4 linked regions of the Struthio camelus genome follow. The protein of the gene in region 1 purifies or fractionates together with the protein of each later gene. This does not show direct contact. Links are inferred from orthologs where the notes say so. Each region holds a gene or a part of one and is shown on either strand. Other genes may lie near its edges.

What was found.
Region 2: the proteins of IGF2BP3 (region 1) and ILF2 purify together in Homo sapiens (affinity purification with mass spectrometry; 3 studies listed by BioGRID and IntAct, counting the BioPlex papers as one, with this or other methods). This does not show direct contact. The link is inferred for Struthio camelus from reciprocal best matches to the Homo sapiens genes IGF2BP3 and ILF2.
Region 3: the proteins of IGF2BP3 (region 1) and G3BP2 purify together in Homo sapiens (affinity purification with mass spectrometry; 3 studies listed by BioGRID and IntAct, with this or other methods). This does not show direct contact. The link is inferred for Struthio camelus from reciprocal best matches to the Homo sapiens genes IGF2BP3 and G3BP2.
Region 4: the proteins of IGF2BP3 (region 1) and TRIM25 purify together in Homo sapiens (affinity purification with western blotting; 3 studies listed by BioGRID, with this or other methods). This does not show direct contact. The link is inferred for Struthio camelus from reciprocal best matches to the Homo sapiens genes IGF2BP3 and TRIM25.

The regions. Positions count from the first base shown.
Region 1 is NC_090943.1:37,522,374-37,529,656, reverse strand, and holds the start of IGF2BP3 (insulin-like growth factor 2 mRNA-binding protein 3), read left to right. Parts: upstream 1-4,281; 5' UTR 4,282-4,430; coding exon 4,431-4,440; intron 4,441-4,637; coding exon 4,638-4,859; intron 4,860-6,043; coding exon 6,044-6,104; intron 6,105-7,283. UniProt on the Homo sapiens protein: RNA-binding factor that may recruit target transcripts to cytoplasmic protein-RNA complexes (mRNPs). This transcript 'caging' into mRNPs allows mRNA transport and transient storage.
Region 2 is NC_090971.1:4,679,824-4,687,746, forward strand, and holds the start of ILF2 (interleukin enhancer-binding factor 2), read left to right. Parts: upstream 1-4,912; 5' UTR 4,913-4,937; intron 4,938-5,214; coding exon of another isoform or gene 5,215-5,414; intron 5,415-6,302; coding exon of another isoform or gene 6,303-6,975; exon of another isoform or gene 6,976-7,028; intron 7,029-7,837; exon of another isoform or gene 7,838-7,909; intron 7,910-7,923. Other genes in the region: NPR1 (atrial natriuretic peptide receptor 1), read right to left, coding at 1-37, 120-288, 367-522, 1,443-1,602, 1,675-1,746, 1,885-1,989, 2,146-2,223, 2,308-2,382 and 8 more. UniProt on the Homo sapiens protein: Chromatin-interacting protein that forms a stable heterodimer with interleukin enhancer-binding factor 3/ILF3 and plays a role in several biological processes including transcription, innate immunity or cell growth.
Region 3 is NC_090945.1:8,180,523-8,187,351, reverse strand, and holds the start of G3BP2 (ras GTPase-activating protein-binding protein 2), read right to left. Parts: upstream 3,001-6,829; 5' UTR 2,733-3,000; intron 2,368-2,732; exon of another isoform or gene 2,245-2,367; intron 1-2,244.
Region 4 is NC_090960.1:5,481,082-5,488,924, forward strand, and holds the start of TRIM25 (E3 ubiquitin/ISG15 ligase TRIM25), read left to right. Parts: upstream 1-4,833; 5' UTR 4,834-4,893; coding exon 4,894-5,511; intron 5,512-6,843; coding exon 6,844-6,939; intron 6,940-7,843. Other genes in the region: COIL (coilin), read left to right, coding at 953-1,041, 1,544-1,633.

The sequences.
Region 1 (7,283 bases):
GGCTCCGGCTCCGCCTCAGCCCCCGCGCCGCAGCGGCACCGTCGGCCGGGCCGGGCCGAGCCGAGCCGAGGCGGGCTGGGCTCCCCACTGCCTCCGCTCCCCAGCTCGGCTCGGCCCCGCAGCCCCTTCCCCCCCCCCCCCCACCCGCCGCCGCCTCTTTGTTCGCTGCCCTGCCGGCACGTTCACTGGGGCCAGGGCGGGCGGGAGGGCGGGCGGGGCCGGCCGCGCCCCCCGGCTGAGGAGAGGGCCCGGCCGAGCCGGCCAGACAACGGCCCCGCTGCGGCGTGGCACCCACTTACCACGTTACAAAGCCCCAGCCCTCGGCGGGGAGCGCATCGCAGGCGGCCCCGCTCTCCCCTGCCCACCCCACCCCACCCTTCCGTACCCTATCCCTACCCCTCCCCGCCAGCGCCGCGCCGCGCCCCCTCCCCTCCCCGCCAACCGCCGCCAACCGCCCCCGGCGCGGGGCCGCCGCCGCTTTCGCGCCACGAGCCGCGGGGGCCGGCGCGCGGGGCCAATGGGCGGGCGCGCGGCGCCGCGCGCACCCGCCCGGCAGCCAGTGGCGCCCGCTCCGAGGCGGCGGGCGGCGCTGGTAGGCGCAGGCCGCAGCCAATGGGAGCCGGCGCCGCGCCACGCCCCGCGCCGCTTACTACGAGTTACTATGGCCGCCCGCGGCTCCGCGCGCGGGGCGGCACCGCGCCCCCGGGGCCGGCGGCTCCCCGCCACCGCCGCGCAGCGGGCCGAGCCGGGCCGGGCCGGGCCGCGGCCGGAGGGGGCCGCCCGCAGCGGGGACGGGCAGGGCGGGAACGCGGCTGTGCCTTGCGTGGCCGCTCCGCTAGGAGCGGCGGCTCCGCGCCCGCGGTGCCAGCAGGGGCGGCGGCGGCTGCCCGCGGGCGGCGAGGCCGGGGCGGGCCAGGCCGGGGCGGGCGGCGTGGGCGGGGGAGGGGCGGCCTCAGCGCTCCGCGGCGGCGCGGCCCCGGGCACGCGGGGGGCGGCGGGCCGAGGCTCGGGGGCTGCCCGCGAGGCCCGCGCGCGGCGGCCGTTAGGCCCCAGGGCAACATGGAGGCGCCAACGGCCCGTGCGCGGCGCGCGGCGGCGGCGGCGCCTGGCCGGGGTCCGGGGGCCGCCGGCCTCGTTGGCCGCGGCCGCCGCCGAGCTCCCAACGCGTAACGCCAAAACTGCGCCGAGGAGCGCGGTTCTGCCCTGGGAGGAAACGCGCTTGTTGGCACCACCCGTGACAGAGCCTGCCATTGGCAACCATGGTTCCCAAAGAGGACGTTGGATGGTAAATAGAAACACAGCGGATAATGCCTCGAGTTATTATCCCGAAAAAAACCCGATAGGAGTTGGGATTTTTTTTTTTTTAATTTTTTAATTTTTTTGCCTTGGCGGGGGGGAAGCGGGAGGCGGTTCACGGTGCGCCAATGGACGGGGAAAAAGATGCGGATGGCTATGATTGAGCTTTGCAGACTTTCATAGAGAACGTAGGAGGAGAAAGCACATGTTGGAGTCCTAGTGCTCATGGCAGCCTGCTCTAAAAACTGCTGATCCTGCTAATGAAGGATGAGTTTTGCTGCCGTATTTAGAATATTTATGTAAATATTTGAACTTCTGGTTGGTTTATGTGGATGATAAATATAAACATTTTAAATATGGAGAAAGATTAGAAGTTTTATAAAGCTTTTTCTTACAGAAGAGGCTTGAAAAATGCATTAATATGAGAATGTGCTGGTGTATACTGACGTATTTAATTTGTGACTGCCAAAATAAATTACATATCAAATTGTAAAACTGTATTCCCAAAAATGTTATGATTTGGGTGTGCCAAGCTGATCTGAACTATGTTTATGTACATAGGGAAGCAGAGATTTTTCAGACACCATGAGCAAGTTTTTGTTGTTGATTTGCCTTTTTTGGCATTCAAGATTTGGATTTACTCTTGAAACCACTAACCAACCCACACTTCTTGACAAACAAAGCTATGCATTATGTAGCTTTACAGAAAATGTTTCAGCTTATTAGCAAGATGTTCTCAGAGTATCAGAAGAAAGGGATTGCTAATAAACAGGGTTTTTTTCTATTATTTGGTTATCAAGCATTTTATGATGTTATTGGACAAGTGGTATGTAGTGTTATTACGAATTCTCAGTCTTCACTTCTTTAAAAAATAATTTCCAACAAAACAAGTATATAAACTAGAAAATTAAATTTATATGCACTCTCTTTAACAGTTTTAAGAGGAAATACCAGATAACACCATAGACCCACTATGTAGAAATAAGCACATGCAGATTGACTTTAATTCAGGACAAATGAAATTTGTAAAGAATGCAATTAATCTACAAGAACAGTGACAATTTCCTCTCACAAGTTTCACTAAGAATTCAGTAGTTTGGAGGGGACTGTTTTTGACTTGCACAATTTTTTTAATCCAGATTACACAGGATGAGATAATGAAATATGAATTCTTTTAAGAAAAATGCCACATCCAGAATGGAAGGGTTGTAGATGGGTTAATACTGGAGAAAAAAAAAAAATCCTCTATCCCCAAGATAATTTTTTGCATTCTCTACAAAATGGAAGTTGTGCTTAAATTCTGAGGAGTGGAGCACAAAATGTTCACTTTTTCAATTACAAGCTGACAAAAGTTCATAAAAATGACACTGAGATTAAACAACGAGTTGAAATTATGAATGTTTATTTCTTGGTAAGCAAAGTATGAGGATGCACACAATAAAAGGGCTGTATTCCTAAGTTACTGAAACATTAATCCATTTCGTGATAATTTCACAAGGGTTTCAGGCTACAGTCCTCATGGTAAGAAATGTCTCCTTGCATCACACCACCATAAGCTAAATCTTCAGCTTCTTACTATCTTTACTGAGTCCTTTCGGAACCATGCGTAACACTATATTCTAACTGCAGCGTCCAAAGTACAGATAACAAAAGAAGGTCAATAGCACAGTTCCCAAGGTAAGTTAATTCCCTCCTCTTTAATGGTATAGTTTATAGAAGTTAGGCACGAAAGTATGAGGCATTTCTGTTTACTACAGATTTCCACACATACTACAGTACATGTGGAAATTCATTCACTGTTAACTAATAAAAGTATTTAACTATTTTCCATGGAATACCTCTTAAAACGCACCACAAAAAGTCTACCACGGAACAAATGCAACCTTCAGCTAAAGGCAGCGTTGAATTATTAAACAAAACCTACTAGATCGCTATATTAAATACAGTGCTGGCTTTCATTTCCGTATCCTTTCTTCATCTTCAGGCAACATTTTGTTTGCCCTGGAAAGGCTCCACACCCCCAGACCCCTCCCCCACAAGCCCACCATTGTATCCTTACAAATGTGGAGAATTATGAATGGTTCCTTAAACCGGGCCGGGGGGAGGGGGGGAAGGCGGGGGATCGCCAAATCCCTTTGTGTGCCGTTACCATCCTAGGGCAACGGTGCCTTCGCCTCCTCGCCGCCGCCATCCACCATTAACTCGATTAAAGGCAAGCGCGGCCCCCCCCGCCCCGCCCGCCCGCCCCCTTCCCTTCCCCCCGCCGCGCCCCGCGCAAGGCCCGCCGGCGCGCTGCAGGCACGGTACCGTGCGGGGCTCCCTCCGCCCTCGGCAGACCCTCGACCCCCCCCCCCCCGCCCGCGCGGACCCCCGCCCCCCCCACCCCTCCCACCCCGCGGCGCGGCCCCGCCGGCAGCCCCCCAGCCCGGCACCGCGGGGGCGGCGCGGCGCGGAGCAGCGCGGCCGGGGGCGGGCACTGCGGTGCCTTTTCCCCTCCCTCCCTGGGCCGAGCGCCGGCGGCGCGGGGGAGGCGCGGCAGATTTGGGGGGGCGGGGGGCGGTGCCGCCGCGCAGGGTCCCCCCCTCTCCCCCGGCGGAGGGCAGAGGCTGGCGCTGCGCTGCGCGGTGCGGGTGGGGGTGCAGCGCCGGGCGGGCCCCGCTCCCCTCGGTCCCGCCCTCCAGCCCCCACCGGCCCTCGCTAAACTTGTCCCGTCCTGCCTGGCCTCCCTCCCCCCGTCCTTCACCCCGTCCCTCCTCCTCCTCCTCCTCCTCCTCCTGCTCCTCCTGTGTGCGCGCGCCCCATCTACTCGCTAATTGAAGAGCTGGGATTCCTCACGTGAGAAGTTGATTTGTAGTTTGAACACGTGGCTCATTCAAAAAGCCGGAATATTCAAGTAATTTTTTTTTTCCTCTCTCCCTCCCTCCCCTTCTCTGTGTGTGTGTGTTTTTTTTTTTTTTCATATTGAGAGGCGGCGCCTGCACGCACGTAGTGTGACATTTTCATAGTCCGCCTGCTGCTGCCAAAGGGGCTTGGGGGCAAGACAAAAAAAGTAGTTTTTTCCCTCCCCTCCTCCTTTTCCTCTCCTCAGCCCGCCATCCTCGGCCCCGGCGCTGGGTGTTTCCCCCGCGCCCCCCATGCGCCCGGGTAACACGGCAGACACTTAGGGCTCCCATTTGGTCACATCTTTTTTTTTTTTTTTTTTTTTTACCCCTTGAGAGAGGGAGGGAGGGACCCAAGCTACAGCTCTGATTTTTTTTTCCTGTCCTCTCTCTCTCTCTCTCTCTCCTTCCTCCATCGCATTTTGTTTTATTTCCCCCTTCCTCCCCACCTCCTTTTGCAAGACGAGGGTTGTAAGCCGCCGGACGCGTGTCTCCGAGCCGCCAGGAAGATGAATAAGCTCTACATCGGCAACCTCGGCGAGAACGTCAGCCCCCTCGACCTGGAAAGTCTCTTTAAGGACTCCAAGATCCCCTTCTCGGGCCAGTTCCTGGTGAAGACGGGGTACGCCTTCGTCGACTGCCCCGACGAGAGCTGGGCGATGAAGGCCATAGAGGCACTTTCAGGTGAGCGGCCTCGACGGCCCCCGCCGCTCCGCGGCCGCGTAGCTGCAGCCGCGGGCGGCGGGGCCGGCGCTCCCTGCCTCCCCCCCCCCCCCACCCGCCCCGGCCCCGCGGCCAGGTGAGGCGCGGGCTGCCCCCTTCCCACGCGCGGGATGGCCTTCCCGCGGGGGCTGCGCGGCCATCGCGCCCCCGCGGCAGCCTGGGCCCAGCAGCCGGGCCCCCGCCGCGCCGCCCGTGTTTTTCCACTCGCCACGGCAAAGCCCGTCCGGCCGGGGGCCCGCGCGGCGTGGGCTTCCCCGGCCGGGGGCAGCGGGGCGCTGCGCGGCGCAGCGGCCACACACACACGCCCCGCGGCCCCTGCCGCCCCCACGAGCGGGCTGGGGCGCTCCGCGGGATGGCGCAGGCCGCGTTTCTCCCCCCCGCAGGGGTGGGGGCGAGCTGCGCAATTGCCCCGAACTTGAGGGGGGGGGAATAGCCCTGCCTGCCCCCCCCCCCCGCCCTACCGTGCTATTTATTTCGGTTTCTCTTTGCTGCTCTCACGCACCCATCACCGCCTCCAGCAGCGCGCCGGCTCCTGGCCCCGACATCCTGTTTTTGTGTGCTTTTTTTTTTCCTAAAGAAAAAAAACGGCAGGTTTTGCGCGTGAAGCGGGCTTTGCGGCGCTCCGCTGGGAGAGGCTCCCCTGGAAAAGACAGCTTTGGTGTGCGTGTGGTGTTTTTTTTCCCCTCATTATTTATTTTGCATTTTTTGCTTTCGCCGCCCTCCCACCGCCTTGCGGAGAATCGCCCCAAGTTGGAGGCCCGGCGGCCGGGGCCGGCTGCGCGGGGCGGCGCGGAGCGGAGGGCGGCGGGCTCCGCTGGCCGCCCGGCCGGGCCGGGCCGGACCGGGCCGGACCGGGCTCGCCGGGGCTCGGCCCGGCGTCGCACGGAGCGTTTCCCAGGTGGCTGTCGAGGCCGGGGCCGGGAGGCAGGCAGGGCCCCGCCGGGCGCAGCCGCCGCCGGCGAGCGCGGCCGCGGGCCGGGCTTTGTTACCTCCGCGGGGCCGCTCGGCCGCTGCCCGCGCCGCTAATGAATGGGCTGAAACGTGTTGCACGCGGATTTCCTGCGCTGCACCGCCGCGGAGCCGGGCGGGCGGATGGGGACGCACGGCCGCGCTGAAATATTCCCCCCCTCTGCTTATCTCGGCAGGTAAAGTGGAACTGCATGGGAAACTCATAGAAGTTGAACATTCAGTCCCTAAAAGACAAAGGTAAATTTTTTTTTTTTTGCCTTCCCTCTCCTTGCCCTCAGTTAGTTATCCAGGCAGAAGCAATTTAAAAAATGCTTAGGTTCGTGTTTCTCTTCCGTATAGAGAGATTGGGCTGCTTTCTTCAACCCACAAATGTGCTCTCTGTGCTATCCTAGAGGTTTTCCAGAATCACCCTATGTATTCCTAATGTACTATATTGGCCAGGCTACAGGGGAAGTAAATCTATATAAATATACATATACTTTTTTTTTTTTTTTTTTAAGAAAAAAGCCCTTTTTTTTAGCAGAAGCGGGTTATGGCGAGATGGCAAGTGATTGTTAAGATTTTAAAATTTAAAGTTCCTGAGAAGAGTTAAAATCTGGGCGTTAGCAGGAAATGAAATGTGGTGTTTTGAACTGTATAACGGGCAAGCACATGAGCTTCGCTCCAGCAACAAAAAGCATCTTGTAAATACACTGGTATACATATTTTTGATCCTGCCATGTTGGAGTCTGCAGCGTTTTATAGGCATATAGCATAACTCTCATCTGTATTTGAGAGGATTTTTCATCATTATTTTGAGCTGGAATATAGAAGCAGAAGGAGAATGACTCCATCCCAATAAGGACAGGATTTATGCATCCTTAATTTCGAAATGTATGTTTAATTTTTACGAAGTAGTAATTTTGTGGGCCTCATTTAAAGAAGCAATACTTGCAAGACAGCAGGGTAGTATTTTTAAACTGCCTACAGCAATTCAGTCTGCCTTTTTCACAAATGTTTAGATTATAGAAAAGCTGGAGTGCACTAGAGAGTAATAGCAAAATAGATCAAACTTTCCACGTGCTTGTTCCTGCCCTCCATTATTCAATCTGGGAAGTATGTCTGTCTGTACAACTTTATTAGCAGGGGCTCCTACTATTTCCTAGTTATTTTTAAAAGCACAGTCTATCTAAAATAATTGATTTGAAAAGCTGTTTTGTTGGGAATTAAATCTTGGTATTTTGAGAATTAGAAGTTTAAGGTTTATTTAGTGTTGAAGGAAGGCTTCGTTTGAGGAAAACATGGAGACTTTTTTATGGTCTAGATTTAGCAATTGGACCTCTCTGGACCAATTCTTAGCATGTTAATCTTTATAGTTATATTTATTTGATACTTTGCACGAGAAATTAATACATTATATGCCCTATTCTTTATTAT
Region 2 (7,923 bases), on another chromosome or scaffold:
CGACAGCAGGTTGTCCAGGATGTTGCCGCCGCTCTCCCTGCGGGCGGGCAGGGGGTGAGCGCCCGGCGGTCCGCCCGGCGGCCCCTTCGCCCGGCCCCGGCGGGAGGCGGCGGCGGCACCTGTTGAACTTGCGGATCTGGACCTTGATCTGGTTGAAGTCGGGGCGCTCCAGCGCGTCCTCGGCCCAGCAGTGCTGCATGAGCTGGCCCAGCTCCTCGGCGTGGCAGCCCACGCCGGCCGACGGGCGGAAGCTGGGGCGCTCGCCGCTCTTCACCCGCTCGACGATCTCTGCGGGGGCCGGCGCGGGGCCGTCAGCCCCAGCGCTGCCCCCCGGCCCCCCCCGCGCCCCCCGGCCCCGGCGCCCACCCTTGGGGCTCAGGTCCAGCCCCTCCACGTAGAAGACGCCGTTGCGCAGGGCGATCTCTTGCAGGATGATGCCGAAGCTGTAGACGTCGCCCTTCTGCGTGCCCCGCGCCGGCGGCGCCTCCATCCGCAGCAGCTCCGGCGCCGTCCACAGCTTCTCTGCGGCACCGGGCGGCGGCGTCACGCACCCCCCGGGCGGGCGCCGGGGGTCAGGGCGAGCGGGACCCCCCGACGCGGGTGCTGGGGGTGACCAGGGGCCCCCCCAATGTTGGTGTTGGGGGTCAGGGCGAGCGGGACCCCCCGACGCGGGTGCTGGGGGTGACCAGGGACCCCCCCCAATGTTGGTGTTGGGGGTCTGGGCAAGTGGGACCACCCAACACAGGTGCTGGGGGTGACCAGGGGCCCCCCCAATGTTGGTGTTGGGGGTCTGGGCGAGCGGTACCACCCAACACAGGTGCTGGGGGTGACCATGGACCCCCCCCCCAGTGTTGGTGTTGGGGGTCTGGGCGAGCGGGACCACCCGACGCAGGTGCTGGGGGTGACCAGGGACCCCCCCCAATGTTGGTGTTGGGGGTCTGGGCGAGTGGGACCACCCGACGCGGGTGCTGGGGGTGACCAGGGGCCCCCCCAATGTTGGTGTTGGGGGTCTGGGTGAGGGGGACCACCCGATGCAGGTGCTGGGGGTGACCAGGGGCCCCCCCAATGTTGGTGTTGGGGGTCTGGGCGAGCGGGACCACCCGATGCAGGTGCTGGGGGTGACCATGGACCCCCCCAATGTTGGTGTTGGGGGTCTGGGTGAGGGGGACCACCCGACGCAGGTGCTGGGGGCGACCAGGGACCCCCCCAGTTTTGGTGTTGGGGGTCTGGGTGAGGGGGACCACCTGACGCGGGTGCTGGGGGTGACCATGGACCCCCCTCAGTGTTGGAGGTCTGGGTGAGGGGCACCCCCCGATGCAGGTCCTGGGGGGCGACCAGGGACCCCCCCAATGTTGGTGCTCGAGGTCTGGGTGAGCAGCACCCCTGCAGGGCAGGTGCTGGGGGTCCGGGCGAGCGGGACCCCCCCCGGGGCGGGGGCTCACTGGCGAAGAGCGCGTGGGAGTCCTCGCTGTCGGGGGCCACGCGGAAGCTCTCCAGCCCGTAGTCGGTGATCTTCAGCACGAAGCGGCTGTCCACCACGCAGTTGGACGACTTGAGGTTTCCGTGGGACACGATGACGCCGTTGTGCAGGAACTGCATCCCCTGGTGGGGCCGAGAGCGGCTCAGCGCCCGCCCGGGGGGCCGCGGGCGCCCGGCGGGGGGCCGGCTCCTTACCTTGACGATGTCGTGGGTCAGGGAGTAGCGGAACATCCAGTCCAGCGTGATGCTCTCGTTCTCCAGGATGTCCTGGGGACGCGGGGGGTGACACCGCCGGCCCCGGCCCCCCGCTCTGCAAAGAGCCTCCCCGCGGGGCCAGGGGAGTCCCCCCAGGGGAGCCCCCCGCCCGCAGCCCCGACGCCGGGTGACGGGCGCCCGCCCCGGTACCTGCAGGCTCCCGCGCGGGCAGTACTCGGTGAGGATGCAGATGTTGGGGGGGTCGGTGCAGGCGCCGACGAAGCGGGTCAGGTGCTCGTTTTGGACGTCCCGCATCTGAGGGCGGAGGCGGCGCGTGGGGCTCTGCCCCGCGCTGGGGACCCCCCCCACCCCGCTCCCCCTCCCCACGGCCCTGCCATCAGCCTGCGCCCGGAGCAAGGGACCCAGGAGTCCCGGCCCCCCAAAAGAGGCGGCGAGCCGGCGTGCACCTACGTGTTTCAGCTCGAACAGGACCTTGCGCGTCAGCTCGATCCGCTTGCGGTTGAGGTGCTTCACGGCCACGAGGTTGCCCTGGGCGGGGGGACGCGGGGCGGTGGGTGCCCGGCGGGTGCCCGCCGCCCGCTCCCGCGCCGCCCCCCCTCCCCGGCCCCACACCTTGTAATAGGCCGTCTTGGCGTAGACCTGGAACTGCCCCTCGGCGGTCAGGAGCGAGCCGTAGTTGGAGCCCCGCTGCGGGAAGCGAGCGCGGGTGAGCCCGGGGCCGGCCCCATGCCCCGCGCCCCGCGCCGGCCCCGGGGCGCCCGCCCGGCTCTCACCAGCGACAGGGTGAGCTTGCTGCCGGCGCTGCGCAGGTGCTTCTCCAGGCTGCTCATCTGCACGTCCTCCCAGCGGACCCGCCACAGCTCGGCCGCCAGCTCCTTCTCCAGCTGCAGCTTCCTGCGCCGGCAGGGCAGGGTGAGGCCCCGCGGGCACCCCGGGGCCCGCGGCACCGTCCCCCTCCCGCACCCCCGGCGCCGCTCCGCGCCCCGCACCTGTAGATGAAGAAGGAGGTGACGGTGATGGCCAGGAGGATCAGGCTGACCACGAGGGACAGGATCTCCAGGGTGGACAGATTGGCTGCAAAGGAAGAGGGGAGCGGTGAGGGGCTGCACCGGGCACGGTGCCCACCGGCTTGGGCAGACCCCAGTGGCGCAGCACCCAGTGGCACAGCACCCCATGGTGCAGGAACCATGGTGTAGGACCCTGGTGGTGCAGCACCACACGGCGCAGCACCCTGTGGTGCAGGACCTTGGTGGTACAGGACCTTGGTGGCACAGCACCCCATGGCGCAGCACCCCATGGTGCAGGATCCTGGTGGTGCAGCACCCCATGGTGCAGCACCCCATGGTGTAGGATCCTGGTGGTGCAGCACCCCACGGTGCAGCACCCCACAGCGCAGCACCCCACAATGCAAGACCCTAGTGGCGCAGCACCCCACGGCACAGCACCCCATGGTGCAGGATCCCAGCAGCACGGCACCCCACGGCGCGACACCCCACGGCGCGGCACCCCGGCGCCCGGGCTCACCTTTGCGGCACAGCGGGTTGCTGTTGTCGAAGCCGCAGGGCGGCACGTCGGGCGGCACCACGTGTCCCGGCCAGAGGATCTCCCGCCCCGGCACCATGTGGATCTTCTTGGTGGTGCCGTTGTAGTTGGCCACGATCTGCCGCGGGGGGGGAGAGAGGCGGTGGCAGACGGGTCCCCGGTGGCCCCGGGGGGACCGGGCGCCCCGTGCCGGGGCCGGGCTCACCTGGAAGTCGCCCCGCGCGGGGTCCATGTCCCACAGGGAGTAGTCGCTCTCCCGGTCCCCGTTCTCGTCGATCTTCAGGAAGCCGGTGACGCCTGGGGACGGAGCCGTGAGGGACGCGGGGGGACGCGCAGGGACGCTGGCGCCAGCGCTCCCAGGGCTGTAAATCTCCATCCCGGCGGCTCCGATCCCAAAATATCAGCCTGGGAGCGGGGCAGGCAGGCGCCGGGCAGGCGGCACCCAGCCCTGCCGGGGCCGCGATGGGGCTGGGATGAGGATGGGGACGGGGACGGGCGCCCACCATAGAAGGTGCGGTTCCACATCTGGCGGGTGATGGCGGTGGCGTTGGTGATGGAGCCGCCCCGCTCCAGCGTCTCGTTCACGGCCTGGGCGTAGAGCAGCACCCCGTCGTGGAAGGCTGCTGCGATGTAGTTCATCTGGGGACATGGAGACGGCTCAGACGGGGTCCTTGTCCCCTCCATCCCCAGCTCCATCCCATGTCCCCTCCATCCCCAGCTCCATCCCTCGTCCCCTCCATCCCTCGTCGCCTCCATCCCCAGCTCCATCCCATGTCCCCTCGTCCCCTCCATCCCCAGCTCCATCCCACATCCCCTCCATCCCTCGTCGCCTTCATCCCCAGCTCCATCCCATGTCCCCTCGTCCCCTCCATCCCCAGCTCCATCCCGCATCCCCTCATCCCCTCCATCCCCAGCTCCATCCCTCGTCCCCTCCATCCCTCGTCGCCTCCATCCCCAGCTCCATCCCATGTCCCCTCATCCCCTCCATCCCCAGCTCCATCCCGCATCCCCTCATCCCCTCCATCCCCAGCTCCATCCCTCGTCCCCTCGATCCCCAGCTCCATCCCTCGTCCCTTCCATCCCTCGTCGCCTTCATCCCCAGCTCCCTCCCGCGTCCCCTCGTCCCCTCCATCCCCAGCTCCCTCCCGCGTCCCCTCGTCCCCTCCATCCCCAGCTCCCTCCCGCGTCCCCTCGTCCCCTCCATCCCCAGCTCCACCCTGGCCCTACCAAGCCATCGTGCATGGTGAAGTTGAAGTGGGTGCGCGCCTCCTCCTTGAGCCGCGCCAGGAAGGGCCGGTACTCGGGGTTTTCGGGCTCCTTGTAGGTGATGATGGTCACGGCCTGGGGGGACAGCGGCTGGGAGCGGAGGGGACGGGGACCCTGCCCCAGCCACCCTGCCCCAGCCACCCTGCACGGCCCCTCCGGGACGGGTTCCCCGCGCCCCGGGGTCCGGGGAAGCCTGGCTTTCCGCCCTGCCTATTAATAGCCTCCGTTCAAGGCAGGGCCAGAGCTGGGACCTGGGGAAATTAATCTCGTTTCCTTCCTCCTCGTTAGCTGCCAGGCGCGGGGAGCGAACGGGTAGGGCTGGCGGGGGAGGCCGGGCTGCTCCGCCGGCTCCAGCGCCCACCCCGACTCCGCGCCAGGCCCCGCTTGCTGCAGCCAGGAGGCAGGGCTTGTGCAGGGGAGAAGAGGGCGCGCAGGTGGGTGTGCGTGCCTGGGAGCGCACGGGTGCATGTGTGCAGGCGGGTGTGCATGCCTCGGTACCCGTGTGCACACAGGTGTGCATGCCTGTGAGCGTGCGGTTGCATGCCTCGGTACCCGTGTGCATGCCTGTGAATGCACGGTTGCATGCCTTGGTGCACGTGTCCCTGCAGGTGTGCATGCCTGCGGGTGCGCAGGTGCGTGCAAGGGCACACGTATGCATGCTTGTGAGCAGGCGGGCGCACGCACGGGCACACGCGTGCGCGCGGGGCTCACCTCGAAGGCCTGCCGGGCGCTGGCGTCGTCGCGGTCGCCGCGCTTCCAGGGCCGCTGGGGCTCGGGGAAGCGGGCGCCCTGCAGGCTGGCCCCGAAGATGTCGATGTAGAAGAAGGCGTAGTCGCCGCGCGTGAGCCCCTCGCGCCAGGCCTGCAGCATCAGCTCCCGCAGCGTGTCCGGGGCGCAGCACACGTAGACGACTGCGCGGGGCGACACGGCTCATGGCGGCGGCCCCCCGACGCCGAGTCGGGCCGCGACCCCTCGCGGGAAGCCGCAGACCTCGGCCGAGCCCGGGGCAGGATTTACGGCCCTGCCCGGCGCCGGCAGCGCGGGAGCAGCGGGGACGGCTCCGGAGCGTCCCCCCTCCGCGGGGCAGCCGGACCCTCCCGGCCCCATCCCGGCCCCATGCCGGCCGGGGCACCCAGGGCCGAGCCCGGCCTCCGGGGGGTCCCCGCGTCCCGCGGCTCCGTGCGATGCGGGAGGGAATGAGCGCCGGGGCCGGGCCGCGGACCCCCGGGCGCAGCGGGGCGTGAGGGGGCCCCGATCCCGCTCCGGCGCCCCACGTGCCGCCGCCGGACCCCTGCCCTCCGCCAGCGCCCGGCCTTCCTGTTTTCCCGACTCCGTTTCCTCCTCCGCTCGCCGGCGGGGACGTATCCCGGCGGTGCCGGCTGCCCGCGCTCTGCCGGGGCGGCGGGGCGGGATGGGGCCGGGGCGGCCGCTCGCAGGTGCCAGGCGGCCCCCGCTCGGCCCCGGCGGCGTCGGGGCGCCCCGACGGCTCCGGCCCCGCAGCCCGGGGCGGGGGGGCCGGGCCAGGCGGTGCCCCGGGAAAACGGCCGGAAAGAGGGAAGTGCCCCGGCCCCGAGGCCGCGATAACGGGCGGCGGGCGGCGCTCCAGGCCTGGCCGGCGCCCAGCGCCTGGCCGGCGGGGCCGGCGGCCGGTGCCAGCCCGCGACGGGGCGGCCGCGGCGGGCGGTGCGGAGCCCCCGCGGGTGCCCGGCGCGGCGGGCTCGGGAGGCGCGTGCGCCCCCACGGACGCGCTCGGCCCCGGGGCTCCGTCCCCGCCCGCCGCCCGCCCCCGGCGCTCTTACTGCGGCCCTTCTGCTTGATCTCCTGGATGATGAAGGAGTAGTTGCCCTTGTCGCAGAAGACCACGTCCAGGACGGTGAGGTTGCGGAGCGTGGGCAGCTGGACGTAGAGCCCCTCGGCGGCGAAGAAGCAGGGCCGGTCGTCCATCTTCTCGTCCCAGTAGACGAGGAGGGCGCGGCGGGTCCAGTTGAAGCGGCGGTGCAGCTGGACGCCCAGCTCGCCCAGCTTGCGGTGGCTGGGGCCGGCGCGGGTGGTGAGCCCGAACTGCTCCCGCTTGTCGTCGAAGCCGTGGGCCTCGGCGCCCGCCGTCACCAGCGGCAGCCGCCAGTGGCTGGTGAAGCGGGCCACGGGCGCCGCCGTGTACACGCAGCCCGGCCCCACGAAGGCGGCGGGCTGGTGGGCCAGCCGCAGGTCCACGGCGGCCAGCGGCGCGGCCATCTCGGAGCAGACGCCGTGGCGGTCCTCGCTGCTGCCGAAGACCCAGCGCAGCGTGTAGCCGGGCAGCAGGTCGGCGCGGGCGTTGACGGCGGCGGCGGCCAGGCGCACGGCCGGCCCCACGCGCGGCCAGGCCCACGCGTAGGTCAGGTTGCGCTCGGGCAGCACCACCGCCAGCGTGAGCGCGGCGCCGCGGCCGGCCGCCACCAGCGCGCTGAGCACGGCCAGCGCCGCCAGCATGGCCCGCGCCGTCGTGTCGCGTCGGGTCGGGTCGCGCCGCCGCCGCCGCCCGCGGCTCTGGCACCGCGGCCCCGGCTGCGCCTTTCCTCCCCCCGCTCGGCGACAAGGGGCGGTTATCGTCCGCCGCGCTTAACCCCTTCCTGCCCGCCGCCCCCGCCGCCGCCGCCCCGACGGGCTCCCCCGGGCTCCCCCGGGCTCCGGCCCCGCCGCTCCCCGCCGCGGGCGCCGCGCCGCCAGCCCACGAGCCCACGGGGAGGCTGCGCCGCGCCGGCCGCGTCCCGCCCGGGCTGAGACCGCACAAACTCGCGGCATGCGCGGGCAGGGCGGGGAGCGCCCCGCCTCCGCCGGCTGCTGGCGCCGTCCCGCCGCCCCCCGACCCCCGCCCGGCCCGGCCCGCGGGGTCCCAGCACCACCCAGCGGCTGCGCCTCCCCGCGGGGCGCCCAGCACGGGGGATCCCCCCCCCCCCGCACCCCACGGCCCTGGGGACGCGCGCGGCGTGTCCTGCCGCCGCCCCGCGTGCACCGCGGACGCGCGCGGCGCCTCCCACCGGCCCCGCCGGGACACGCGCGGGGCCCCCGCGAGCCTGCCCAGCCCCTCCGGGCGCCCACGGCGGCTGCGGGCCGCGGGGCAGCGCCGCGCCCCCACCCGCGTCCGCGTCCCCGCGCCGCCCCCCGCCCGCTGCTGCGGCCAGCCGCAGCGGTGCCGGGCGGGCGTCCTGCTGGGGGACAAACAGCAGCTGTGGGCAGAGGAGCCCCAGAGCTGGTGGCAGCAATTAATGATATTAATTAAGGGGCTAATAAAGAAAGAGCCCCGCGGCGGGGGGGATAAAAAAAGAGGTAGCGGGGACATGACCAAAACAGCTAGCAGAGGATGGTTTCGATCCATCGACCTCTGGGTTATGGGCCCAGCACGCTTCCGCTGCGCCACTCTGCTCTCTGCCGCCAAGC
Region 3 (6,829 bases), on another chromosome or scaffold:
GCAACTGAAACTATCTCCTCTCTTTCACGCTATGCAAGTGCTCAGATCATCCTCCATCAGCAGTGAATGCTAGCAAACCAGTATAATCTAAGAGAATCCCTTTACTTTAGGAACTACTTTGCCTAATCCAATAAAATCTGAATTGGCTGAGCCCCAGGGTGCAACATACAGTTCTTTCAAATCAAGCAGTTGTGTTTTTTGTTGTTTTTGAGAGAAGCTGAATGGCACCACATAGTGTAGGCACAGGACTACTACAAAGGACCATCTTCTGGGCAGTTAAACTGCATCATCCAGAACAGCTAACGCCCACCTGAATAACAATGGCCACTGTCCTCAGTGGCACCACATTTTGTGGTAGCTACTGCAACTCTCTCCCTGGTGGTTACCAGCCAAAGCCAGGGTCAGTGTCCTTCTTCTGACAGTTCATCAGATAGATATATTTTAGTCTGATATATTAAGTCTTTTCACGTGCTCCTTGAGTTGGGATGCAATTCTTCATTTGTCCAATACTCTCAAAAGAAATGACATCCAGTGTCACAAACGCTACAGTAAAAGTGAAGAAGTTCAAAACCGCCTGCGTTAAGATACTGTGTTTCCTCAGCATATTTTCAGCACGGTAAGACACTTCCAGTGTGACAGCAGGTGTAAAATTTGAAATCTCAACTCCATACAAACAGTTTACCTATAAGGACACCAGCGGATCAGTGGGTTGAAAGGTCAGTAACTTCCCTCTCCAGTAAGTTAGCTATCATAGAAGACATTTTACTCTACTTGTGAAAAATAGTCATACGATACGGATCATAATTCCATACAGTGAGCCCACATCTACCACTTAGAACATTACAAGAACACTTAAAACAGGAAACAAGGATTACACTTCTTAAACCCAAGCTAATAGTTTCCGGAATAGGTTCAGAAGAAGGATGTTTCCTAAAGAATGAAAAAGCTTTCCAGAGGCAGATATGGCCCTGCAGGCGTACTTATGTTCAGAATGAACAGAGAACGTCTTGCTAATTACAAATTAACTCCAGAAGCAAAAGTTGCCAGTAACAACACCTTCTTGGCTAAGAATGGAGGTTGACAAACCCTTTACCTACTCACCAAGCTGAGGTAACACAACTATGCTACTCGCAGGGACTTGGATATACAGAGTAGTGCTTGCTTGCTATTACTTCATTTTAAGTCTCCTACAGGCCATCGAGTAGGACAGTGCAGCCTAAATTGCAGAGTAACCATTTCTACCAAGCTGATCTTACTTTACTAGTGCTCCCCAGTTAAAACTGGCAATAAAAGAAACAAGAAAAAGGAAAAGAAGATATACCTCAGGCAACAGTGAGTGCTTTAGTAGGATGTTTGCCCCAAACATCCTACTATGACAAGTTGTCTTTCTCTTTTTACTGGTCCACCCAATTACAGATCAAAGACACTGATCTGGCTTTAAATATGAAGCTTGAGTATAAGAAGTAGTGGACTTGCACAAGTACTGCGCTAAGAACAAAATAATTTATCCTGTTTCTCAAGAGATGAAAACTAGCTTTAGTATCTTTACACTTCCTGTTGTAATGAAGAGGAACGCTTGTACACTGAACTTGAAATGCCTAATATATAATGAGGGCTCAAGAACTGCCAAACCCACATGGAAGGCTACAATCAAAAACCTTGCAGGTTGGAGTCAGTCGGTCTAGCTTCAGATCAAGCAACAATCTCATCTTCTCTCATCCCACAGAGTGTTCTTTCCTTCATGCAGCAGTGCTTGGCACAGCGCTCAAGATCCTAAGCGTTACTCAGCTAACCAGGGAAGTTAAAATACTCATGCTAGAGGACGTTCCTATGTACCCACTCTGGAACTGTAATGACTTTTACTTTACCCATCCAGGATTAAGGGAAGGAAATGCCAGAGAATACCATATTCACCTCAGACGTGAAATAAGAGACGCTCACAAAAGGGCTGCTCAGGGTATCTAGATCTGCAGAATAAAAGATGCTTGCAACTTCAGCCATGTTATGAGTGAGAACAGAAAAGCTCGGGGTGTGATTGGAGCAAAAGGGAGCACAGAATGGCACGGTCCATGGAATTAGCAAGACCTGGGCTGGAAAAGGTTTTAAAGCCAGTGACGCTATCACAGAACCAAACCCTAAAAGGAAAGGGGCAGCCCAGTGAGCTGAGGATAAAAAACTAAGGTCGCTTCTGCAGTACAGACGAGGCTGGGAAACAGCATCCTGTACACGCCGGAGTCCACATACCTCTAGGGGCTCACGGAAGGCAGCGCACGAATCGAGCGACGGGAAGGGATGAAAGGGACGAACGCTGCAGCAGAGCACGAAGCAACGCAGGGCCCGGGGCGTCACGCCTGGGAGCGGCGGCCGAGGGGGCGCTTTTTCCTCCCGCCTCCCGCCAGCGCCCGGGGCGAGGCGGAAGGGGGAGCGCCGCCGAGGCGACGCACCGCCAAGGTGACGGCGAACAAAAGCCTCCCCCCGCGCCCCGCTCCGCCGCCCCCGCCGCGCACCGGGCGACGAGGCGGGCCGGGAGCCGCCGCCGCCGCCGGCCGGGCCCGGGGCCGGGGCCGGGGCCGCACCGAGGCAGGGAAGGGCTCTCGCCGGGCGAAGCCGGGCCCCGCCGCGCCGCTTTCCTCCCCCCCGACCCCGCGCGCGCGCGCGCGGGCCGCGACCGTTAAACGGCCGCGACCGTTAAACGGCCGCCGGGCCTACCTCCCCGCTCGCCCCTCACTCACCCAGGGAAAAAGTCTCGGTGTGTGGGGCGGGGGCACGACCCCCCCCGGGACCTGATCGGTGTCGGGCGCGGCGAGCCTGTCCGCGGGCGGGTGCCGCAGCCGGGGGGAGGGGGGAAGGACGGGGCGATCGGGGCGCGGCGGCGGCGGCGGCGGCGGCAGCAGCAGCGATGTCACGGCCGGGCGGGGGAGGGGCGGCCGGGGCTCCCGTGCGCGCCTGCCTGTGCGTGCGGCCGTGCGCGCGTGCGGCCGTGCGTGCGCGCGTGCGCGCGCGTGCGCAGAGGGGAGGGGGCAAAAGCGAAGGGAGGGGGAGGAGAGCGGGCGCGCATGCGCCGCCGCGCCGGCCGTACTGTCTTGCCCCTGCGTGAGCAGGCAGGAACCCCTTTCGGGCGCTCTCCGCCAATCCCGTGTGGCTTGCCGCGGTGACGTTCGGGGGGGGGGGGGCGCCGGCTTCCCGCCGAGCCCGCGGGGGCGGAACGGAGGTGGGCGGGGCGCGCGCCGACCGTTAGCGGCCCAACGGGCGGCGGGGCTCGGGGCGCGCAGCCCCCCGCGGGGGCAACCGCTTTCCGGCTTCTTGGGCGGCAGAGAAGGCGGTGGGGCGAGCGATGGTTCGCCCGAGTGCCGCTGAGGTGCCTTTTCCTCAGCTGCTGCGGCTTTGCTATAGGAGTTCTTTGTACTGCTTGACTTACGTTTTTTTCTGTTTTGCAGTAATATCAGAAGGGTGTGTTTCTCCAGCAGGTGCTTACTGCGCTGTCGAGTGTGGTGGAGTCGAGGTGGGGGCGTCCTTGGTGTCAGTGCGGCTAAGCAGCGCGCGGGCTTGTTGGCAGTCAGGCTCGCTATGTTCACGCCGGTGTTTTCACCGTTGGCCCCTTTCTCTTTTTGGAGGCTGATTTCAGCTAAATGGTGCAGTGTTTTGCATTTGGCAGGACTCTCCAGCCACCTAATAAATAAGAGGATGCAAATGAAGTTGGACTAAAAGCAGTGTCCCATGCGAAGCTTTCCCCTGTTCATAGCTTGCTTAGTTCAGGATTTCTCAGCAAAATTGAGGAAGCCCTTTTTCAGTATGTGTATTTGAGGTATACTAAAAAAATAGCTAATAGTTCTGAGGTTCAAATATTCAAATATCAACTCAGTAGGCCAGCAGCAAACACAGTTACCTCTGCAGTACCTCCTTCCCAAGGTAAGACAAGCTAGACTTGAGGGTGTGTGCCAGGGCACAGCCAACACCTACTCTGGGAGCAAATCACCTCTTTCACTGAAGCTCTGGATGTAAGGAGCTTGGCAATCAAAATTTCAGTCTTTTAGAAGGAGACCCTTGATTTTTGGTGCCTGTTGCCCAGCTTCAGCATTTTTGATGAGTTAAGTCTTTTCTGCTTGCCACTGGCCTCAGAAAGTACTTTAAACCATCCTCCCTGGCAAGGGCAGGAGGTACAATTTTCCCAAGAGCTGTTACAATCACCACCTGTAACTTGTATTCAGTAATGGAAATGGTATGGACTCTGTGGGGGCATGTGTAAAGGTTGCAACAAAGAAGCATCCTAGGAAAAGAAGCCGCCCAGCAATCCCCGAAGTCTGTGTCAGGCGAAGCGTTTTCTGGAACAAAACTGCCTTTGTCTTAAGGTGTTACTTATTTGCTGTTACAGGTCATGTATATTATCTGAAGTAACTATTTTTTTCTTCCCTTCACTTTTGGTTTTGGTGTCCTATTTGTTTTAAGGTTTCAGCAGACCTTTCTTAACCATTGTGGTATCCAAGGCCCTTTTCTTGAGAAATGCATACTTTTTTTTTTCTTCCCCCCTTCTCTTTTGCTGTTATTGGGCAATTTAGTATGAGAGAGCATCCCAGAAAGTCACAAACTAGGACAGATGCAAATAATGCAGGAGCTGCCTTATGGCCCTGTTTTATAATCACACGTGTTATAAGAGTTACGTTTGTCCTTTTGATTCCACTCTTGGATATAGGCAAAAAGCGAAGGCCTGGTTACAGCTAAATTTTGTAAAGCCAAATTACCGCGAGGAAGTGAGCAAATAGTTTGTAATGGCAAAGGCCTTGCAGATCAGCCCCTCTCACCCCAGTGCAACCTGCAGCACTGCACTGGGTGGGAAGAGCAGAGCTAGGCCAGCATTAGATGTGTCCTGCTAATGCACATCAGCCTTTTCCTGCTTTGGCCCGGGAAACTGCTGACACAACCCTGTTTGCTATAAAACATCCTGCCTGGCTTTTGTTACCAGGTGAGCAGACCTCAGCAAATGATATTCCTGCTGCCCAGCAAGCTCGAAATCTTCTGCTCCCCATGCCAGCTGATAGCCATACAGGGAAGGCCAGGCTGTCTTACACTGCTTTATTCCATCTACCAGCGGAAAAGAAAATGTGTGGTCAGCTTTAAGGTTTCAGTACAAGTCTAGTGTCACAGCAAAGCACCCTGGAAGTTGTAGTTTCAGAGAAAGCTGGGGCTTGGGAGTCCTTCAGGGAAGCTCATGCTGGAGAGAAGGCAATTGGTTAGTAGGGGCGTCTTTCTCCAAGAGGGAGAATGCAGTGCAGGTGAAGGATGAATTGCAAGTGTGTGTTTGTTTAGTTTTGCGGAAATGAGAAGTACGTGTCCTGTGCCTTCTCTTTATTAGATTGAGACGTTTGCCACATCCAAAAGCCTGTGTAGCTCCCTGAGGACTGGGGGTGATTATGGCTTACCTTTCTGTCATTATGGAAATGTAGTTATCAATGAATAAAATTGTTTCACTGAAGCCTGTTTTGGTATGATTTTTGTGATAGCAAATCTTTTTGACAAATATATTGGTTTTGGTGCCTCCGTGTAGATGGAGGAGGAAGCCGTGATTTAGACAATTAAAATGCTTTATTTTGACTTGATATCCAAGTATTGCTGTTAGTGTTTTTTTTTCCATCTTTTCCTTTTATGTAGTAACACGTAAGTCGAAAAATTTAAGGAAAGAGCAAGTTATCTCACTTCACTTGCAGTGTTTAGTTTCGATTATGCATTTCAATCTAAATGTGTGTTAATTCTTCAGCTGATGGGGGGAGAAGAAGAACCCAAAAGCTCTCACAGAAAAAAGGTTACGTGGTCCACTAAAATATATTCAGAATTACAGCAGATACGTGGAAAGCTGGTTTGCTTGTTTCATAATGTTTTAGTATAGCTGACCTTATGTGTAACTCTGGAGATAGAATGCACTTGTATGGCTGAGGATCCCATCTTGGTCTAGCAGAAGCCAGCTGTCCTAAGCCTGGGACGCAAGAACAGGAGGACATATTCCCTATTGTGGGGACTTCATAGTCACAGACAGCTGAGTGTAAAATGCTGATAGTAGGAATAAATTTAGGGATTGGGGTGGAAGGGGAAGACTGTACAGGCTTTCTCTTTGGAAAAGAAGGGAGTTTTCTCCCTGAAATTAAATGAGCAACTGTGCCATGAATTCAGTGAGTAGAAAGTGACAAACAGTTGTATGTGTTACCTTTGTTTCATGGGGAAGGGTCTCCTAAAAATACGTTAGAAACAACCCTAGCCTATTTTAGTCGGTTAAAAATAGATTACCGTGTTAATTTAACAGTAAGTACTTTAAGACCTCAGTATTGAGCTAATAATTTCAGGAAGCAGTAGCAGTTGTAGCAGATGATTACCTTAGAGCTGTAAGGTCCTAATTTAGTCCTAGTCTGGAAGTGTATAGGCCACACATCTAAATAGCAAGTTGCTTTCATTCCAAGGCAATTTAAAAACAGAATATGGAAATCTAATGTTCCAGTGACAACTTTTAGTCTCAAGTAAAATTAGCAGTTCCTTTCTGTGTTCATTTGCTACTCTAGCTATAAAATATTGCTGTTGTTTGATATGCAAGTGCACAGAGGAAAACCCAAACCAAAAATTCCATCAGTAACTAGGAGGGAAACACTAGACTGGAAGCTGGTATGCAGATAAAATGCCTTGTAGATGACGGGGGGACTTGATTCACTTGGCGCACTGCTGCTTGGATATTGTTCCTCAGCGTGGAATGCAGAAACGCCTACAAGAGCACCATCCAATGAAGGAAACTTCAGCATCTGAAAGAGATGTCACTATCTGTTGCTCTGCTCTTAGACTGAACTGTAAC
Region 4 (7,843 bases), on another chromosome or scaffold:
TAAACGTACCCTAGGATGCTGAACGGCTCTTGTCACATATGTTCCTGGAAGACGATGGTTCTGAGGCAAACTTCCTGTTTCAGGAATATTTCCAGTTTCCTCAGGTTCCTTCTCACTCCCTACACCCCCCCAAATCTGCTTAAATACAGAAGGTTTGACACTTGCTCGTTCTTGAAGCTGTTCGTATATATTTGCAAAATTCAATTTGTTCAGTCAGTATGAGCAACAGTAACTCACTTCCAGGTAGAACTGTTGTTTCATATCCTGAAAGATTAAAATAATTATACAGAATTACGGAGAAAATTTTAGGTCCTGACGCTGTTTTTGTGAAGTCCGTGAAGCCGCTGTCTTCATTGAATGTGGAACTGAGTCCTTATAGTGACAAAACACACTTCAAAGACCTGAAATTATGCGTGTGTATACTGCTGTTGCCATTTAAACCAGCATTAATAAATCATCATCCCATGAACTTTTTTCTCAAATTTATGTAGCAGATTGTCAATAAGCTTTTCCTCTATGCACTGTAGTGATTAGATAATTACTTTAATTTTGGTTTGTAAAATTCAGTTCTGTCTCAAGATTTTTCTTTACCATTATAAACATTATGGATGTGGTGTAAGTTTTGAACTCAAAAGATATTAAAGAGCAGTCTCAACCCACATAAATTACAAATGTAAGGAGCTGATGCTATGTTGAGTATGATAAAGCATAACACAGATACAAAGTCATGTAGCTCAGCTGATTCTCTGAACCACTGGACATGAATTATTGCAGCTGTTTGGAGTAATCACTGAAAAACCGTGCTTGACTAGCTTTCTAAATGTTGTAAAAATGTATGTCCTCTTGTTTATGGTTAACTGAATTGGGGTATTTTTTCTTTTGTGTTGTTTCTCTCTCTCTCTCTCTCCTTCTCTCTCTCTCTTTTTTTTTTTTTTTTTTTTAAACTTTTAAGTGGCTAAAGAGCCAGGGAAATTCGATCTGGTTTACCAGTCTGCAGATGGAGCTGAGCTGATAGAGTACGCTGTTTCTCAGGATACAAAGGTACGTGACTGTCTTGTTTTGAAGACTGTAGTGATTTTTCACATTAATGATATGTTCCCTGATTTATGATGCTGTTCATTTCAGGGAGATTTCTTTTATAGTGCATCTGATGAAAATACGTAAAAACAAAAGTAATTGCTCCTTTCTAGTGAGAGTGCATATGATTACAAGGTAACAATCACTTCTTCCGTGTTGTTCAAAAAGCAGTCATCAAATTGTGTAACTTTTTGTTTTGGTTAATAAAATAAATAATAATATGTCTAGAGTATCAGTTCATACAGGCTTACTCACTTGATGTACTGGGTAAGGAAAGACGCAGGTAAGAAAATAATACAACATGAGATTTGAGAGTCATTAGGAAGATCCCTAAATCACAGAAAGAGTCTGTGATCTTTGTTTAGTAGTGCTGCTGTTCAAGTCCAGACAAAGCATAACGCAGAAGAAATTCCCATCTACCTATGTAGCTTATACATGCTAAGTATTTTCTGTATTTTTCTTTCAGATAACTGAAAGTTGGGATGCATTGATAGAGCCGAGACTGATCGTTGAGCCTCCAGTTGATGGATTGAGCACTGAAAATGGAAAAATCTAAGATATGAATAAATGTAAATAACTGTATGGACTGTTCCGTGAAGCGCTACCTTCTAGTTCTGAAGACAGCAGATCCACTGGTGGATATTTTTAATGAATGATTTTTAAATGAAATTATGCCAAAAGAAAAATAAATACTTTGTTTTTTTCCCTTAGGACATGTTTTTATTTAATATAGGAGTGCTTTGTTTAATATAGGAAATATTTTTTTTATTGAAGCTTAGTAACAATTTTTATGTCCTACGGTTCTGAGTTGCAAAATTGGAACAATTTGCTCAAAGAGATACAGTAAGACTCTCTGGTACTGTCAGTAGCTCCGCTTTGTCTGGCCGAACTAGAGTAGTATAACTGGAATACAGAGGTAACTCGCTGTGAGGATAATTTAAAACAGCATTAAAAATTAAATTGAAGTATTACTGATAGACACTTTCTTTTCCTCCACAGCTACAGGGCACGATAAAAATGCTGTGACTTTGTAGTTGTATAAAGGGTTCATTTGAACACGTCAAGAAAAGATTTATTGATATTAAGCTTCTGTAATTTTGAGAGCCGATAAATAGTATTGGTAAGTGAGAACTTTATCTAGAACCAGTGGAACATAACATGAGTCCCGGGCAAAATTATGTCCCAGTGTATTAATGTGTGTAGGCTCTGAAACTTTTCAGCAAACCCTTTTGCTGTTTCAGTGCTGAAGTGTCTGTCCCGACTCTCTTCTTTCCTTCCTAATACCAGAATGGGTCACCAGGTGGTGGCAGTGCGTTTCACTGACATCTTTGGTCACTATTGGCATCCAGGTAGTAGGTAGAACTCCTACCCGAGAGATACTGTGCTTTGCCAATATGTAATCTTAGTTTAAGTTGATCCTTGTTCCAGATAATTGACTCTAAAGCAGAAGATAGGAAAAAATATCTGGATACAAACTCCTGAAAAATTGTACATTATTGTTTAACTAAAATATATTGTCTGGCTAATGCATGGTTATATTAAAATATGATATACCTTTGCATTATTCCTGTTAAAATGTCTTGTTCATGAAAATTACTTATATATGAGTAAAACTTTAATTTCCATGCTGCATTTCTCTTCAGTTGCCATTATTTTATGTTAAAAATTGATTTTAAAGCAATTGACAGTTGGATTCATGTATGGATGGTCTTGCAAACTGGACAAAAAGTAAATCCCAGCCATTTCAGCACAATCCAAGACAGGATTAATAGATCAAAGTTGTGGTTTTTTGTTTTATTTTGTTTTTTTTTTTAAATGAGAATGAGAAATGAAAAATGTATTGTAAAATTGCAAACATTAAATGCAAATCTTCTGTAGCATTTTAGAGGAGGTCTCATCTCTTGCTCCATTGCCTACAGTGCATTTTGGCTACAGATTTAAGATCTGAAGTCCCTCTGGCTTCTAGGATCGGATCATGGTTGAAAACAAATTACGGCAGAGAGAGAATGTTTTGAAGATAAAACCTTGAGTTTTATTTGTTCGCTGCTACCAAGTTAGTGTGAAACTGTACTGTTTCAACGCACAGTTTAAATCACATGCAGTCTGTGACAGCGAAGGCTGACTGTCCTTCCTGTCACACCACTGTCCTCCTCTGAGAGAGCCACACAACAGGATCCTCCTACCTGGGGAGCTGGGGCAGGGCTTGGCAGTGGTTAATGGGTGAGAAATGCAGCATAGGACTGGACGTGCATGTGTATCCCAGAGAGAGCCAGTGATGCTCTGCACAAACCTTTCATGCTTTCTTCTTTCTGTCCCTGGGGTTTTGGGCTCCTTTGCAGGCCTCTCTACTGGCACAGTCCCAGCTATCATGTGAGATGCTTGGCCACCCTCTTGTGTGCAATTTAGTGTTATGGGTTTGTTTGTTTAAAAAAATTCTATCTTAAATTTTGGATAAGTAGAACAGTTCTTCTGTACTCACAGTTTCGTTATGTCATGCCTTTCTCTTCATTTGTGTGATAGTGATCATACTAATCTGATGACTCAAAAGGTATGTGCATGTTTGAGCTAGCAAGCTAAAGTCAAACAAACTGGGCAGGACACTGCAGATATGATGAGCACCTGCAGCTAGAGGCTGGCAGCCAACAGCTATGGAAGAGACCTGGAGTTTCCTGCTGTGACTACAGACCTTTCAAAAACACATCAAGTGTCAGCTCCATAGGAAATTGGGGATATTTATAATTGTGATGTGTGAAATCACAATTGTCTAAACCATTTAAACCCAAAGACATGGTAGAGGGCATGAGAATAGCTGTCTGATGTTTGCTCAGTCGGGTGTACAAAAGAAGTTTGTTCTGCTCTGCTTATGACTTCATGCTCAAAGTTTGAATGCAGTTTCAATACACGATATCTGGGCAAAGGGTCCGATTTAACCGGGAAGCATATGAAGAAAGTCTCAAGTGATAGCAAGGAAGTAAAGAGAGTAATAACTTTGATAGTTAAGTGGTAAAATTCTTCAGTAATTTTTAATGCTAAACATTGTTTTTAGACAACAGGAGTGGTAGGTGCTTATTCAAAATAGAATTTTAAGTCCCCTTTGACAAAGATGAACTTAAATTGCTCATTTGAGCTCTAAATGTCCCATAAGCATGTTCTGCTCCATAAACAAAAAACTGTAAAGGTATATATTTACCTTCCTGCTTTATATGCATTAGCAGATATCAGGTGAATGCTGCTGAAAATAAAAGTGAAGGTGCAAAGTATTTGAAAGTTGACAGTGGCTTAACCTAGATAAGCCCAGGAAAAAGTGCATCTTCCACCTACAGAAAAATAAGAAATGTGAATATTAACAGCTGCTCTTTAGTCCCAGCTCTGGTAACATACAGCACAATACATCTCTGTAACAATGTTTCTTCTACAATCACTGTCAACTACCCATTTCTCAGGTATCTTCAGGTGTTTGTTAGCATTCCCTCTGACAAAGGTTTCACGGTCCTCATTTAGATAGCCCAGCCACGAGTGGAGCCATGCCACCGCCCCTAGAAACCCTTCCACCCTTGAGCAAATTACAGAGGCAGTCCCTGAACTGGTGCTCCCCTCCGCCAAAGCCCTGAATGCCTTCTGTTGCCCCTTCTGCCTCTAAATCACTAAGCAGTGAGTCAGAGTCCGTGACTGAGGGCGGCTGCCCTGGCCCCGGGCAGCACCGGCTGCCGAGCCACCTCGCCCGTGGGGCCGGGCCTGGACGGGGCCCCACGTGATTTCCCGGAAAGTGCCGCTGCGAGTTTCGTTTACCCCGCGGCGGCTCAGGGCAGCAGGGAGATGGCGGCGCTGACCCACACCTCGGCCGAGCCGGCGCTGTCCGTGCTGGAGGATGAGCTGACCTGCTCCATCTGCCTCTGCCTCTTCAGCAGCCCCGTGACGGTGCCCTGCGGGCACAACTTCTGCGCCTCTTGCCTGGAGCTCACCTGGGCCGAGCCGACGCAGGCCTTCAGCTGCCCGCAGTGCCGGGCCAGCTTCGCTGGCCGCCCGACGCTGCGCAAGAACACGGTGCTGTGCCGCGTGGTGGAGCAGCTCCAGGGCAGCTGCACCAAGGCCAAGGCCGAAGTGGAGGCTGATGGGGAGGTGGCAGGCTACGGCGCGGCCGCGGGCCCCGTCCCCTGCGACAGCTGCCTGCAGGCACCTGCCGCCAAGACCTGCCTCACCTGCATGGCCTCCTTCTGCCTGGAGCACCTGCGGCCCCACCAGGACAGCCCGGCCTTCTGCGACCACCAGCTGTGCCCGCCCCTGCAGGATCTGCAGCAGAGGAAGTGCAGGGACCACAACAGGCTCCTGGAGTTCTTCTGCAGGGAGCATGCCACCTGCATCTGCTCCACCTGCCTCCTCAGCCACAAGCTGTGTCACAGCAGCCCCCTGCAGCAGGCCAAAGAGAAGGCCGAGGTGAGTGAGCGGGGCGGGTGCAGGGCCTCATCCCAGTGTGCCCTGATCCACGATGTTGGCATGCCCTGAAATACAGAGAGGGTCATCGCGGTGCTTCCCTTTGCTCCCCTGGAGCCCAGCAGGTCTCCATGCACTGCGGGTCATGGGCTGCAAAGAAAGAGTGCTGGGGTAGCCTGGACCAAGACCTGCCTTATAAATTTTGTATCTGGTCTTGCCAAATTATTATCTGCCTTCCAATGTGTGCTGTGAGTGTGTCTTAAGAGTCGTTTCTCGCACTTTTCCCCTCTCTCCAAGATTGGACTAGTGGCCTTTAGGGACTTGGGTTTGGGAAGATGCTATCGCAGAGTTGACGGACAGACTCAGATGTGCAGTTGTACTGAATGGCAAGTGCTCTCGTCTGTGTGCTCTGGAGAGCACCAGGGGCTGTTGTGGTTGGCAGCAGGGGTTACGTGACTGAACTGTGTATTGTGTGCAGGCATTAACGTGTAACTCAGCGCCTGCTCCGAGTGAGTGTTTTACTCACTACACAGGCTTTGCTGTGTGGCCTTACCACAGGCTTACTGCGTGACTGTCGACACGCGCTGTTCCACGCTGTTCTTACCAAGTGAAGAATTATAAAAGTAGCCGGGGGAGCTCTAGTACATGCTGAACAAAACCAGGAGCTGGCGGTGGTGGTGGCAGCAGCGTTCTCTGTGGAGTGGAAGGGAAGGAAACCCAGCCCTGATATCTTACAGCATTGCTGAAAGTCAGGGGGGGGGGAGGAGAGGAGTAAAGCACACTTGAAAAATCTAAACTAGAGGCACTGAGTTTAGGTGCACAAACTCCCATCCCTCCAGCTGGTGTGTACAACCTAAGCGTGTTAACCTAAGATGTCCTCCCTGATTTTGCTTAGCAGCATCCTGAATTAAAGGAATAGATAATTTACATTTGAGTGATAAAACTCTCTATTAAAGAGAGAGGTAAAAGGTAGCATTAACCTGTAGCCCAAAGTCCAACCTAAGGTAAAGTTCATTCTTAGCACTGACAACTGCTGTGCTGATAGAAGTATTTAGTCCTTATCAAAAGAATGAGCCAACACCATAGGCCTTGCTATTTGGAGAGTGTGGCGATGTGGGAAGAGTGCTTGCTTCACAAACTACACACAAACAGAATATTTTCGTGTCCTGTGAGGTTAAAGGAACAGCATGTTTTAAATCTGTAGTACTTAATACTTACACAGTGGTTAGTTAAAACTTTCTATAAATTTGATTTTCACTCCAAAAAGCATGACCTGACCAAGAACACGCACAGCCGCTGCTTCACTGAAATATCTTCTGATCTTTTCTATTGCAGTCAGCGCTGAAGAAGAGACTGACAGAGCTGCATCATCAGAGCGAAAGCGCTGCTCGAGCAATGAACGTTGTGAAGACAAACCAAAGCCAAGCTGCTGTAAGTGGGCAACTCTTTCTATTCAAAATGCTACCCAGTTGTTGTGGATACTAGTACCCTTGTGACAACGGCTCTAGTATTCATATTGCAGTGTCAGGAGGACTCTGTGTTGGGAAGGAACAGAAAATAGCCCTTTTGGCAGTCAGGCAGCTCTGTGGCAGATGGGAGCAAACCCAACTAGCTGTACAAGAGCTTTATGCTCACAGGCCCATGCCATAGCAGGGCTTGAACCCATCAATTTTTGTTGCACTGGAAAGTGTGCATCTGTGCAGCTCAAGCTAAAGGACTGGTGAACTGGAATGGCTGCACCAGTAAAGAGATTTGGGATGGCTCTTTCCCCTAAATTTACACAGATAGTCTCTCTTACTTGAGCAGAAATCCTTGCTCTTGCATGATGATTGGGGTTGTTGTATGTGATGACTGCCTCACTTGTACCATCCTTTCTGAATTGAGTTGTGGAGACCAAGAAACTGAAAAGCTGCCAGGGTAGCACATCTGTGCTCCTCTGGGATGTCTCTTGGAGGACCAGGAAGAACTCTGTGTCAAGCAGGACTGTCTCAAACCACGTCCATGAGGCAGAAATAACTGCAGTTACGCAAGTGGGTGTGTGGTGTCTACGCTCCAGACTGGCAGAACCTAGTTCCAGTTTGCTGGTGATTTCTAACCACTAGATGGCACGGCTTGCCTGGCTTGTGTCCAGGAGCCCTTGCGAAATAGGAATGTGGAGACGGAGAACTGTCTTTGCTTAGGAGTAAATGAGCTTTCCTTCCAAACTACACAGAAATACATAGCTCTTCTATCACCTACTTCAGGTAACTGAAGTCTACATGTTCCTCAAAGACTTGGTTTTCTCTTGTAGTTGTAGTACTTCTTTGCCCACAAATTGTTCTTTTGAAACTAGCAT